Linked DNA regions of Macaca mulatta. The protein of the gene in region 2 binds, or shares a complex with, the protein of the main gene of each other region. Links are inferred from orthologs where the notes say so. Each region holds a gene or a part of one and is shown on either strand. Other genes may lie near its edges.

What was found.
Region 1: the proteins of MAPK8 (region 2) and ATF2 are in contact, whole or in part, in a crystal structure (PDB 6ZR5), measured with the Homo sapiens proteins. The link is inferred for Macaca mulatta from reciprocal best matches to the Homo sapiens genes MAPK8 and ATF2. Residues at the interface, in NP_001310257.1 of Homo sapiens: Asp112, Ala113, Gln117, Val118, Met121, Glu126, Arg127, Tyr130, Leu131, Tyr133, Val159, Lys160, Ser161, Asp162, Cys163, Val323, Trp324, Asp326, Ser328, Glu329; in NP_001243019.1 of Homo sapiens: Phe36, Val44, Lys48, Met51, Thr52, Leu53, Lys54, Phe55, Gly56, Pro57.
Region 3: the proteins of MAPK8 (region 2) and DUSP16 are in contact, whole or in part, in a crystal structure (PDB 4YR8), measured with the Homo sapiens proteins. The link is inferred for Macaca mulatta from reciprocal best matches to the Homo sapiens genes MAPK8 and DUSP16. Residues at the interface, in NP_001310257.1 of Homo sapiens: Arg189, Val196, Ile197, Leu198, Gly199, Asp229, Ile231, Trp234, Gln253, Thr255, Val256, Thr258, Tyr259, Val260, Asn262, Arg263; in NP_085143.1 of Homo sapiens: Phe215, Leu267, Asp268, Tyr271, Lys275, Pro279, Ile281, Ser282, Pro283, Asn284, Phe285, Asn286, Leu288, Gly289, Gln290, Leu292, Asp293.

What each region holds. Positions count from the first base shown.
Region 1 is NC_133417.1:80,008,057-80,011,784, forward strand, and holds part of ATF2 (cyclic AMP-dependent transcription factor ATF-2), read right to left. Parts: intron 1,002-3,728; coding exon 775-1,001; 3' UTR 1-774. UniProt on the Homo sapiens protein: Transcriptional activator which regulates the transcription of various genes, including those involved in anti-apoptosis, cell growth, and DNA damage response.
Region 2 is NC_133414.1:60,852,637-60,857,908, reverse strand, and holds the start of MAPK8 (mitogen-activated protein kinase 8), read left to right. Parts: upstream 1-2,077; 5' UTR 2,078-2,221; intron 2,222-3,491; exon of another isoform or gene 3,492-3,685; intron 3,686-5,272. UniProt on the Homo sapiens protein: Serine/threonine-protein kinase involved in various processes such as cell proliferation, differentiation, migration, transformation and programmed cell death.
Region 3 is NC_133416.1:14,927,995-14,932,679, forward strand, and holds part of DUSP16 (dual specificity protein phosphatase 16), read right to left. Parts: intron 966-4,685; coding exon 795-965; intron 1-794. UniProt on the Homo sapiens protein: Dual specificity protein phosphatase involved in the inactivation of MAP kinases. Dephosphorylates MAPK10 bound to ARRB2.

The DNA of each region.
Region 1 (3,728 bases), on a different chromosome or scaffold from region 2:
ACATTATATAATTTCATATTTCTTAGCCTCAAAACACAGGTGTAAAATATTGAATTTAAGACTTGAAAAATAAAATCATTTTTGAAATGCTGAAAATTCTAAAATTTGTTTACTTAAAACCTTAAATAAAAAAGGAAAATGATTATAAATGACCTTGATTTAGCTTAACAATGTGCATAAAAGCACTGTATGTCTTTACCATGTTTTCACTCACTTAAAAAAAAGTGTTCTTTAATGTTTTTCCTTTTGCATAATGTGCAAAATAAAAGGCAAAAAGATTAAAAGCAAATTTCTATCTTTCTCTTGCCTAGTGCTTTTATGACTCCGTTAACATTACAAAGTCAACAGGGACTATGCAAAACTTTGGTATAAATGATAATACTACTACCATCACAGTTGAGGGTTAAGGGGTGGTCAAAAGAAATGGAAGTGGGAAGAAAGATTCAGTAACACCCCCATTTATTAAAACACCAACAAATTAAAAGTGAAATAAACCACAATGAATTATAATACAATTTACACATTGAGCACAGAAAAATTAATAAATCTACTAATATTTATAAAAAAAGCAAAATCAGTCTTTTTCCAGAGACTAAAAACTGTTTTTCAGTCTGATCAACTGCTGCTACACCAACTTTAGAGCCAAATTTAATTTCAAGTAAAAAAAAAAAAATTTACAACCACAGATTTCGCATAAATGGAAACTGGTCTTTCCTTGATTTCCCTTTGAAGTCACTAATGAGTATCTAAAACTGTTGTACTGCAGGTTTTTAATCAACTTCCTGAGGGCTGTGACTGGGAGGAAGGAGCCATAACGATCTGTGAAAGAGCAGGCTCTGTACTCTGGTCCGCCATCTGGGTGAGGACTGAAGTGGCTACAGCTTCTGCCTTGGAGGTTGAACTGACTCCATTGGATGTGCTGACCGAACTATGCTGTATAGCTTCTGTATGTGGACTACTCGGCACTGAAATGTCTTCTGAACTATCATCTTTATCAGCAGCTGGGTGAAAAAAAGAAAAATTATTCATTTTCCTAAAATCTGTAAGAATGCACCATTATGCTGAGGCAATATACGGAGTAAAAAGTTAGAAAGCATCTTACAAAACTGATTAGACAAGTTGGTATTACAGGAATTGATATAGGTCATGAAGTAGGCAATTTTACCTGCAATAGGTCAAAAGAAGGCACAACCATGCATATGGAAACATCTGGGTGCCCACTGCCTTATGGAATAGAGTTGAAGAAATATTTGCTAAATAGTGTTAAAGAAAGAAAATGAGGTAGAGTTTGGAAGACAGGCTCTTACAGATACAATCAAATATAAGTATCACATTTAACAAACTCAGTCTGGTTGGCCTACATGTCATTCTTATTATAAGATAAAAATTTATAACCACATGCATAAACAAAATGAAGTCTTACATACAAATTACATCTTCAAATTATTCCCTCTGCATTCTCCAGAACTGTATTTATTCTGGCTGATTTTCCATCTATTGCAGCCATGAATGATTATAACACCTGATTCTAATGATGCATACATATGAGAATAAGCAATATTTAGAATCTAAATGCCACCAGCTGTTATAGTTGCATGAATAAATTGGGATTCAAGTAAAAATCCATACAAAACTCTAAACATTGCAACTGAAAAGATACTCAGGAAAAGGCATTCTAAGTATTTACAAAAATAAATCTGCAAATACTTAGACCTGAACAAGTCTTACACCCTTATTTTAATAGAACAGAATACAGTAATTTCATTTAGTAAAAATTTGATATAGATAACACACAAATATTTATAGTATATGTAAGTTATGAGGAACAATGATAACATGAACACCTGGAAACCGTGCCGCCAACCTAAGAGAGAACACTGCCATTAACACTTCTGCTTCCTGGAGGTTCCTGTCCTCACCAAAGGTAATCACCACTCTGACATTTCTTTAACCATTCTCTTGTTTTTCCTTTGTAGTTTTAACACATAGGTATGTATCCCTAAGCAACATAGTTCAGCTGTTTATTCTGAAACATTTTAAAAACAGTATCACACTGGATGTACTCTTTGGAACCTTGCTTTTTTCACTTGGCATTAAAACTTTTTTTTATTCAGTGTTCAGAAGTGACAATAAGTAGGCTTTTAAAATCAAATCTGAGAATGTGTATTGGCCTGCTTACTGATGGCCAGATGCCCATTCTGAAAGTCAATTAGTAAAAAATATTGTGGATATCTTATGAAGCAGGACTTAGCCTATGATTTGCAATGTAGAAGATGCAGAGGGGGATACCTGAGAGTGTCAACTTTAGCTAAAAAAAAATTATTAATCTTGTGCATTTTCTGAAATAAAGTTTTTACAGAATTTTTCAACATCTGCCTCAAATCCATGCATTTTTGAAAAGCAGGTTTTAAAATACATTAATGAGATGGAACCCCATCTTCTCTATAACATGCTATAAATCAAAACCATACCCCTGGATACTTGACCTCAAGGTACAATAAAACAACAACAACAAAACCAACCACCAGAAGTAGTATTCCTTTAAAAATCATACAAAATGGAATGAATACTTAAAAAATTATAGATTCAGATGGTATATATGCAGGTGTGTTACACGGGTATATTGTGCAATAGAAGTTTGGGCTTCTACTGAACCTATCACTGAAATAGTGAACATAGCACCCAATGGGTAGTTTCTCAACTAATGCCCCCCTTCCCCTCTACTTTTCTGATCAAGCAATAATGAATGTTATAAAATATTTATAATTCAGATATTAAAATAGCCAATCATTACATGTACAAAGAAAACAAAACACTGGCAATGACAGTTTAACTGGAGGGAATACTAAAAAGCTCTATTTGTTTATTTCACCACTATTCTTTTTTTTTTTTTTTTTTGAGATGGAGTCTCGCTGTCACCCAGGCTGGAGTGCAGTGGCCGGATCTCAGCTCACTGCAAGCTCCGCCTCCCGGGTTCACGCCATTCTCCTGCCTCAGCCTCCCGAGTAACTGGGATTACAGGCGCCCGCCACCTCGCCCGGCTAATTTTTTGTATCTTTTAGTAGAGACGGGGTTTCACCGTGTTAGCCAGCATGGTCTCCATCTCCTGACCTCGTGATCCGCCCATCTCGGCCTCCCAAAGTGCTGGGATTACAGGCTTGAGCCACCACGCCCGGCCCACCACTATTCTTTAAAAGAACAACAGGCTGACGTTTCCCTGAATGTTGAGTTCAAGGGATACACCAGCTTTTAAAAATAAAGAGGCTGATCTGTGATGAGTGGTATAAGGAAATGTAAATACATACTGGAGGCAACAACTCAAAATGAAAACAGTAAATTATAAAGGATGAATGCTTACCTACAGACTTTCAGAATTAGTAAAAGCAATGTGATATATTTGCACCTATGTCCAGTTCTAGGTGAGGGGAGAAAATGACTGGTGTAATCACAAGCACTAGAGAGATACAGAAAGCCATGGTGTACTCAAAGAGCCACTTCTAGCTCTACCTAAGCTAAAAGAAACCAGCTGTTTGGCAATTCCGTAATCTTGAAAGTTCTCTACCTATGTCCACAAGTTTCTTTTTCTTATTTGAGATAGGGTCTCCCTGTCACCCAGGCTGGAGTATTATGGCACAATCACAGCTCACTGCAGCCTTGAACTCTTGGGCTCAAGTGATCCTCTTGCCTCAGCCTCCCAAGTAGCTGGGACTATAGGTGTGTGCCAAATT
Region 2 (5,272 bases):
ACATCAGTTTTGGGCATCTCAAAAGCCAAACAGCCAAACAGCCTGCTCTCATGATATTTTCATCCCAGTCTGGTCCATTTCTAAATTCCCATCTTGGTAAACCAGCACTAACATCCATCCTTGGCCACAAGCCAGAAACCTTTGAGTTTTCCTTGATGTCTCCCTCTTCTTCATTGCCCCACATAACCCATCACTTGGAGAATGTGCAAGTTCTGCCCCTTGGACCTCCTAAATAATTCACAGATCTTTCCATGTCCATCAGCTATTTCCATGACCATCACCCTAGATCAAGCCTCCACCTTTTACTGTCTAGGCTACTCCTACATCCACCTGGCCTCTTTCCAATAAGGAATATTTTCAAGACGCTATTCTGACCATGCCATACTCTTTGCTGAATATGTCAGGGGCTTCCCATTGCACTTAGGATAAAAAGATTTTCAACACGGCCAATATGGCTGTCCTATGTTTGGTCCCTTTACCAATCTTCCTGACTTCATCTCATAGCTCCTTTTTCCTTGCTCCTCCAGCAGAGCTGGCCTTTCCTGAAGTTCTCCATCTTATCCTGCTTAATCTCATCACAGGACCTTCGCATGCAAAGTTCTCTCTAAAATATTCTCTGTCTAGTCAAACCTATTCCCAGCTCAAGGGACAGTTCCTCAGGGAAATCTTTTCTGGCCTTACTAACTAGTGTATTAGTTAGTTTCATAATATTATGTATCCTTAACAATTTGTATTATAATACAGTGATAATTTTGCATTTACTGTTATTACTTTCATAGTACAGTGATTAAATCTGTAAACTCTATTGTACTGCTAGGCACTGAATGGGCCTGCAATAAATAATTATTGCAGGAATAAAGGATGGAAGGAAGGAAATTAAGAAGGTTGAGAGGGAGGAAAAGAGGAAATGGGAAGAGAATGAATGAATAATCACCTGTATGTTCGCTTTTAGAATCACCAGAAAGAGGCCAGCCCCACATGTAATAGGAAAGTAGTCTACCTGAAATCATTCATTCATTCAACAAATATTTATATATTCTTTATTAAAGTAACTTACTTGTTTCCGATTGTGAACATAACTATTCCTCTTGGAAAACATGAGAAAATACCCAAAGTATAAAAGAGAACCAAGTCACCCTTTATTCCATAGTCCAATGACGAACCATTGCTAACATAATTTGGTGTATTTCTTTCCAGGTTTTTTCTATGTGTATATATAGTAACTAAGTGGGATCGTTCTATATATAAGACTTGTTTCTTGCTTCTTTCTCTTAATGATATATTGTTAACATTTTCCTGTGTTGTTAAGAATTCCTTGAACACATGGCGTTTAAATTGCTAAAATGTATTCTACTGCATGGATGTAGGTAACTTAAACGCCTTTCCACCTGTTGTTGGATATTTAAAGGCTTGTCAATTTATCGCTTCTGTAACATTTACACGTTTTGTGGGGCCTCAGAGGTAAACCAGGTAATGCAAGGAATCTGGGAAGAGGTGGATTTGCAAGGAATCTCGGAGGAAGTGGATTTTGGAAAAACTGGAGGAAGCTTTACCGGGGCAGCTGAAGAGAACACTTATCTCTCTGTAGGTTGCTGGGATCCGGACAGGTGTCCTCAGCATGGAACGTACTGTCGGTCAAGGTAACCAGCTCTTCATCACTCAGGTGTGTACCAGGAAGGGGTGTCTGTTCGCTGCGCAAGTTTGGCCTAAGCTCACCTGCCCTTCAAACCCTGTGGTGACGAGGCCCGAAGCCTTAAGCTCCGACCTGGCTACCGCCGCCAACCAGATGCAGTCCCCTGGGGCCACGCGCCGCCACGTGCCACCACAGGGCCCGCCCCTCCCGCTCCTGGCCACGCCCCTCACCCACTGCCCTCGGAGGCTCTCTCCGCGGCTCCGCCTCCAGGCGACCTCCGCAAGTTCTCTCAGCCCCGTGGAGTAGCCCCGCCCCCGGCCAGCGGCCCCGCCCCCGCAATCCGGGCCCCGGGGCTGCCCCGCCCCGCAGGCCACTCGGGAGGCGCGGGGGCGGCGCCCTGCGCGATGACGTGGGCGGGCGTGCGCGGTGACGGCCCGCGTCCCTGTTACTCAGCGGAGCGGCCGAGGCTGGACGACGCGGCTAGGATCGCGGAGCGGCGAGCAGACCTGGGTAACGGCCGCGGCGACCGCTCGGACCGCCCCTGTCCCCGCTGGCGGGCTTCCCTGTCGCCGTTCGCTGCGCTGCCGGGTGAGTGCGGCGGATGCCGCAGGGCCTGGGCGGCAGGCGGCCCCGTCGTGTTTATGTTATTGTGCCGCTGCCGCCGCCTTCTCCTCAGCCGTAACCCCCTCCCGGGAGTGGGGGCGGGAGCGCGCGGCGGGCGGGGGCGGCGCGGGAACAATAGCGGCGCAGAGGCGGGGGCCGGCCAAGGGGGCGTGGGGCTGCGGGACCTGGGCGCGCTCTGCTACCCGCCAGCCCGCCCGCCGCGGCGAGCCCCGCCCGCCTGTCCTCTCGCGTCCTCTTCGCGCGGGTCCTGCCTCCGCGGCGGGAGAAGAAAATAGCGGGGGGGTGGGTGGCAAGTTCTGAAACACTTCGGCAAGGGTCGGACAGAGGCGTCTCCGCGGCCCGCCGCACCCTGGCTGCCTCCGGGGCGGCGAGGAGCCGGGAAGAGGGCTTCTACCAGCGGGTCCCCAAGCCTGCCCCGCGCCCATGGGGACCGTATTTTGCTTCTCGGTGGTTTCTTTGTGCTCAGGTTCTGGGCGAAGGCAGGCAGCAGCGCTGAAAAGGGCCGGGATGGCCTGCAGCTCTGGGCTGCGAGGCACAGCCCAGGCCCGTGGTTCGGGTGGGAGGTGTCCATCCAGCTTGGCCCGAGCTTCGGTGGTCAGCGCACATTTCTCTTGAGGGTCACTCGGTGGTGACCTTTTGACTTTTTCACCCCACCCTCCCATCTCTTTGTCTCACATTTGTGTTCCGGATTCAGAGATGGTAGAACCAAGTCCATTTTAAAGTACCCTGATGAACACTTTCCGTTTTTATTTCTGAAAGTTCCCCGCCTGGTCTTTATTGCGAATTTAATAACATGTTAACTACATGGCATTGTCCAGTGATTACCGTTTTTACCTCTGAAATTCAGCGATCTGTCCAGTAGAATTCTGGTCCGTCAGTCCATTGTGTTTTGAGATAGGCATCCAGCAAATACCTCTTTGGCAATTAGAACATGTTTTTTCATTCATTCATTCATTCAACAACTGTTCGGTACCGTACCCAGATGAAGAGGTTTGGTTTGAAGGTAAAGGAAGGTATCCTTTCATGGAAGAGGATGCTTTGACTGAAGTATAATAGATGGACCTTTAAATGAGAGAATTACATAAGAGATGTCTGTTAAGGAAGGTATGGTTATGTTCTGGGTCATTTTTTAAGCAGTATATCTGGAAGTTCAAGTGTAATGTTAGGAAGTAGAATTAGATTTGGTCTAAATATACAACAGCTTTTGTTTATTTCTAAATTTTATTTTTTCCAGTCTTGCAGCCTTACAGTCATTTGTAATGGTTACCTCAGATTCCCCTGCTGTGGTTAACGTTAAACCTAGGAGGTCAGATGCTCTAAGTGAACATGTTTAGTGCTGTGCCTGACAAAAGCAAGCAATCAAAATGGGACTTCCTTGAGGGCAGGCCTGTCTTGCATCTGTTTCTCCACCACCTAGCCTGGAATATAGTAAGTGTTCAATAAAAGTCGGATTGATGAAAAGCTCTTTGTAATTGATAATATTTAAATTCAAGCCTTAAAAAAAACTGTAATGTTCTCCATAAAGTTTTGGAAGCTTCATGCAACTGTCGCTTCAGATGGCTAAATGATCAGTTCATGTACATTATCTGTTATGATGACATGGGCTTTTGAATCACGTGTAGGTCATTCACTGTCCTAAAATAAAATCTTGTCTAAATGTTTTTTTAATATGATTAATAAACTAAAGTAGGTTGTGGGGTGTGTGTTTCTGTGTATGTACTAGTTTATGTGTGTCTGTGTGTGTATGTACGTAATGCACACACAGGCACACATAAACTGGTATTTCAGTAGGGGTCTAAAATGATTGCATTTATAATTTTGTGAATATTATTTGAAAGGTTTTTGGTGACTCATTTTGTGAAAAATTGAGGACAAAGCCACATAAATGTTTTATTAGAAATATTTCTAATATTTTGGAAATGTTTACTTGAAATGTTTGGTTTTAAGTTCTAACTTGTGTTAACACATTGGTACAAAATATGATCCTAAAACTCAAAATAATTCATTTATCCAAGTTAAAGCTCTTTTCCACTCCCTGAACAGTTTAGCGTTTGTTTTGGATTTGAAAGAATACGAAAAGAGTGAACTAATTAATGAGCTTCTTATTATTTGGTGTAAAGTGGAAATGAAGAAATAAGAAAATGATACTTTTTTAAGATGAGGGATGAAAACCTTTGAGATACCAACGTTTTATTGCTTTACCTAGTTAAGGTATGTCAGCTTCTAGTAGGGGTTACTGACAATCCTTTGGCAGTAGCTCACAGTCAGCCTATGTAAAGAACCAGAGTTGTGTTATTTTGTTTTCCAAATTATTGGTTTTTAAAAATAGCTTTATTGAAATTTAATTGACATGAAATTCACCTGTTAGAGTGTATATATTTCAGTGGTTTTTAGTATATTCACAATGTTGTGCATTGATCACCATCACCAATTCCAGAACATTGTCATCACCCCAAGAAGAAACACCATATTCATTAGCAGTCACTCTGAATTTCACTTCAAATTATGCTTTAAAGTAAGAGATATAGCATCGATTCTGTTAGTAAATATATTCCTTTAATAAGTATGAAAAGGGCTCCTTTTAAGTGTCCTGTCCTGGCAGAATAGGAAACTATATCCTTCACACTCCTTTAGATCGGGGGAAATGCCATTTGGAAAGGAAGTTAGTGCAAGAATACATTGTACACAAATTAATGTGGTTAGAATCTTAAGTATTTGCTACATGCCTGATATTATCGAAGTGACCTTGGGAGGATGAGATGTTCAGCGAAACAACTTGAAGTAATTTGTTGTTAAATGACTAGTCCCCAACTATCCTAGTGCTAAGAGGTTGTTGAATAGGAGCCTGCTTCTTGTTGGTCAGCTTTGCCAGCGGGTTGAATTTTGACATATTTGAGTCATCTACATGGTTGAGATGCTTTGTTGCACGAGTAGAAATACAAAATAATGTCTGACATTAGGATTCCAGCGCTCTAGAGGTCTCTGGTCAAGTCAATGGTATGGGTAGTAGCCTTT
Region 3 (4,685 bases), on a different chromosome or scaffold from region 2:
CTAATATTTGTATTTTTTGTAGAGACAGGGTCCTTCCTATGTTGCCCAGGCTGGTCTCAAACTCGTAGGCTCAGGTGATCCCCCCACCTCAGCCTCCCACAGTGCTGGGTTTACAGGCATGAGCCACTGCACCCTGCCAGTTCTGGTGTTTCTCTAAAGAACTGCCTTCATATATTTTTCTATTCTGGCTCTAAAATAGTTCATGGAATGGTTGTCATTTAAATCCAACAAAACGGCTTGGGCAACATGGAGAAACTCCATCTCTATTAAAAAAAAAAAAAAAAAATGCAAAAATTAGCCAGGCATGCTGGTGTGTTCCTGTAGTTCCAGCTACTTGGGAGGCTGAGGTGGGAGGATTGTTTGAGCCCAGGAGGTTGATGATGCAGTGAGCTGTGATCGCACCACTGCACTCCAGCCTGGGTGACAAAGTGAGACTCTGTCTCAAAAAAATACATACATACTTCCAACAAAACAATATTCCAGTAAATGTTCTCAAAGAGAAACCACAGAATCCAAGGAAATGCCACTTGAATTTCATTTTAACCTTATAAATGATTATTTTTATAATGTATGTAATCCTAGAACGTACTGAACGCTTACTGTGTGACAAACGCTGCTCTAAGCACTCTATAGGTATTTTACACACTCTTATAACTGCCCTATGAGGTAGGTATTACTACTAATCCCATTCATAGATAAGGCTCAGAATCACATAATATAGGCTCAGAATCACGTAATATAATAACTGGAAGAGCCAGGTTATAAGTCTACTTTTCTAAATCCTGTGGAATTACCTTCAACTCTCCCTTGGATGCAGGGACATTGCTGATGATATTCACGGGGTCCTGGCCTCCCAGCTGTGACCAGGCTAAAACGGCCATGGTCCTTTCCCAAACTGATGGAAGAGCCTTGTTTCCCCAAAGCCATATTGCTCAAAGGCTTCAATGAGGGAGAAGAAAGAAGATCTGACAAGACCAGAGAAAGGAGAATCTCTTTAAAGGCAATTTCACACGACACCAATAACAAAGTTTACAGATGAACTAGTTGAAATGTAAATATGGTCACTGGTTTGTTCATGACCATTTACACAAGTTGGTAGTAAAGTTGAGGCCATGTCTTGGCTTTCAGGTCACCCCCTACAGAACAACTTTCAGAGGAGACGCAATTCTGCAATAATCATAAACTGAGCCATCAGCCAGGCTGTCTGAGGTCCAGCTCTAGCGTTAATTAGTACAGTAATCCTATGTCACTTTGACTTCAGTGGACCTCAAAAGTAAATGTGGCTCTAGAAAGTTCTGAGACAGAGAACAGAAACAAAGGAGAGAAAGAAACCATCGTTCAGCCTCAAAACAAAAGAGCCAAACATAACAACAACACTACACTGTAAAACATATTATAAAACAAAAGAAGCTTTTTCAACTGATATCTAGAACAAATTCAAACAAACAAATATTTTAAAATATCTAACAGATTTAGCTGCAATCAGAACATTCATTTAGTGCTCAGTTTGGCTTGAAATGTCCCAAACTGGCTCCTAGTCACTTCCAGAAAACACCACCTCGGCCAGAGTACATTTTCACTGATCTTTATCTATGACAATGTTCCACTCTGCTGACATCCTCCTTCATTGACAGTTTTTTCCATTCACTGACCTTTCATTCACTGCTGCACTCTAGTGACTCCAGTTTCGTTTCATTAATTAACAACAGATGAGACACTGCCTGATTCCCTTGAACCTCTGAAAACTATCTGTGGCCTCACCAGCAACTCAGTTTTGAAACGTGTTTAAAATGTCCCTCTTCCTTTCATAAGTTCTCTTACAAATAAGATCTACTTCAGAAGGAAAGTTCAATCATGCAAACTTTCTGCTCCAAATGGCTGACGGAGACAGAGAATGAAGTGTCCTCTTATCTGCCCTCGTCATAACTTTGTTGTCCCAGGGACTCCAAGCTAGATTCCATTACAAGACATAACATCGACCATTATCCGCTATTTACTGTGAAAAGCAGTACCGAAAAACTGATAAGCTTCTTGAAAAAATTTGCGCATATTTTTTAAAGTTGTCTGAAGACTTGACTCACTGTCCAATCTTGCCAAGTTTCTCCTGTTCCTAATTTTATGCTGTTTATCATCTGGGAATGCAGAAAACGGAGTCATAGTAACCTATATGTGTTTCCCTAACATGGACCTGAACCTAAGAATGACTGTGCCCCCTATTCTGGAAGTATCTGTGCTAAGAGGAAGGAAGACAAATACGCAGACACTTCCAGCCTGCTGAGAAACAGGGATGGGCAGTCTCTGCAGGCAGAGAAGCGTCTTGGCCTCCACAGCTGTGGGTGCACAGGCAGCCAGACCGCAATGCTAAAAACCCATGTTTCTGTTTGTTAGTCTTCCATAAATCCAACCAAAAGAATGCATGTTTACAAATAAAAACATAGATACTACTTCCGACACAGAAAACATGTGGTACATACAGCTTCTAAGGCATTCCTGATTTAGATAACACCTTATCCTAATTCAGCCATGAAAACATTTTCCCTTAGGAGCACCTCCTTCACAATTCCAATCATAAATACGATTTTCTGTAAAAGCAAACGTGAACCACCATTCCATTTTGGGAGGGAAAAATCTGCTAAGCAAAATAAAATACATATAACAACTCTACTAAACAATTCTAATTAGTCACTCTTTTTTCTTCCCTCTCACCCATGCAATCAGTTATAAATCACAGTATTTTCTTAAAATGGAAGTATATTTACATAATAAAAGTAGTACTCTACTGTGGCTTAGTGATATTCTTAAAATGTTTTTAAGGCCAAAGTTCTAAAAATAGATCCCTATCCTTTTAGCAATTCCATGACTTTAAAGATGGTTTCCTGCAGTGAGAGACAGGACCTTTCCACTCATGCCTTCATTTAAATAGGGAGCAAGTCACTAGAGATTTATCAATTGACAGAGCCGCCTTCAAGGAAGGCAGAATCAAAGAGAACTGCCCTCCCACCCTATATTGTGAATGGATTCCATGGTTATACAAAGAAATAATATTGATACAAAGCTCTACTTTATGGAAGACATTTTTCTAAAAAGTCATATGCAAATTTAACTTTTATATTTTAAATAATCTGCATATAGTTCATATGGTTGCACAGTTTTGAACTATGCAGTTAAATTCTTGTTTTTTGTTTGTTTTTGGAGACGGAGTTTTGCTCTTGTTGCACAGGCTGGAGTGCAATGGCACAATCTCCGCTCACCCACAACCTCCAACTCCTGGGTTCAAGCAATTCTCCTGCCTCAGCCTCCCAAATAGCTGGGATCACAGGCATGCGCCATCACGCCCAGCTAATTTGTCCGGCTAATTTTGTATTTTTAGTAGACACAGGGTTTCTCCATGTTGGTCAGGCTGGTCTCCAACTCTCAACCTGAGGTGATCTGCCCGCCTTGGCCTCCCAAAGTGCTCGGATTACAAGCATGAGCCACCATGCCTGGCCATTACATTCTTTTGTAGTTCTCACATAGTTTAATTATTTTGTAAAACAAAACTCCCTTTTTGTAACATAAACACAATCCTTTCAGTTGCTTATTTTAGAATATATGTGAAAAACTAGAGTACACCTTCACCTGTAGAGGACAGTTCTCTCTTCTCTCCATACTGGAAAGAAAATCTGTTGCTTTATGATCACACAAAGGAGACAACTCTAACATTAAAAATGGAAAATAATGAAAATGTTTATTTTGCAGTAAAGTACTTTAATTGCTCTTAAGAGTAATTCTGTTATGCCTCAGTCTGACATGTCTGATTTAGGCAACTTCGTTCTCTAGACACTCACAGACTAAAGTATGGTCACAATTCTTTCAGGATCAGCAGACAGTAAACATGGAGAGTTGAAACTAGTTGAAGAAAAGAAAAAAAAAAAAAGCAACATAATTTCATACCCCTAAAAAAAGCAAACAAAATGTGTAACTAATGTTTCAATGTAGACACTTTGGTCTGGCTAAGCCAAGCCACACAGGTTTGGTAAATTACTCCTAGGAAGGTAGACAGCGGTGACGTGTTTTCCACAACATTAGCAGCATTTCATCTATTTCCCATATAGCCAACTCTCCAACTAGCCGTACTAAAAAGAAAATTCCCAAATGATCTAAAGCATTAATTTAAAGCTTTCATTCCATCCACCCCTATCCCACCATCTACTGGAGCACAGACCAAGAGAAGAGTGGAGAGATACGCATTTCTCTTTCAGGAAGGCTGACAAGTAGCCTGCATCTCACAAAACTTATCCTATAAATGACATCTCCAAAAAAGCTCACCCTGTATTAAACAACTCTATCACCTGACACACTTGGGAAATGGGAAATTCTATCTAATTTTGGTAGTTAAAACATATACAACAGTTACCACATATACAACAAATGAATGAAAAATTTTCAAAGCACCAGCAGACAAATCACTGAACACTAAAATTATGCAACTTGTAATTTCTTATGACTCAGAATGTCCAGATCTTATAACTAAGGATAATATTTATTTATTTATTTATTTTTAAAATTTTATTTATTTATTTATTTATTTATTTGAGACGGAGTCTGGCTCTGTCGCCCAGGCTGGAGTGCAGTGGACGGATCTTGGCTCACTGCAAGCTCCGCCTCCCGGGTTCACGCCATTCTCCTGCCTCAGCCTCCCGAGT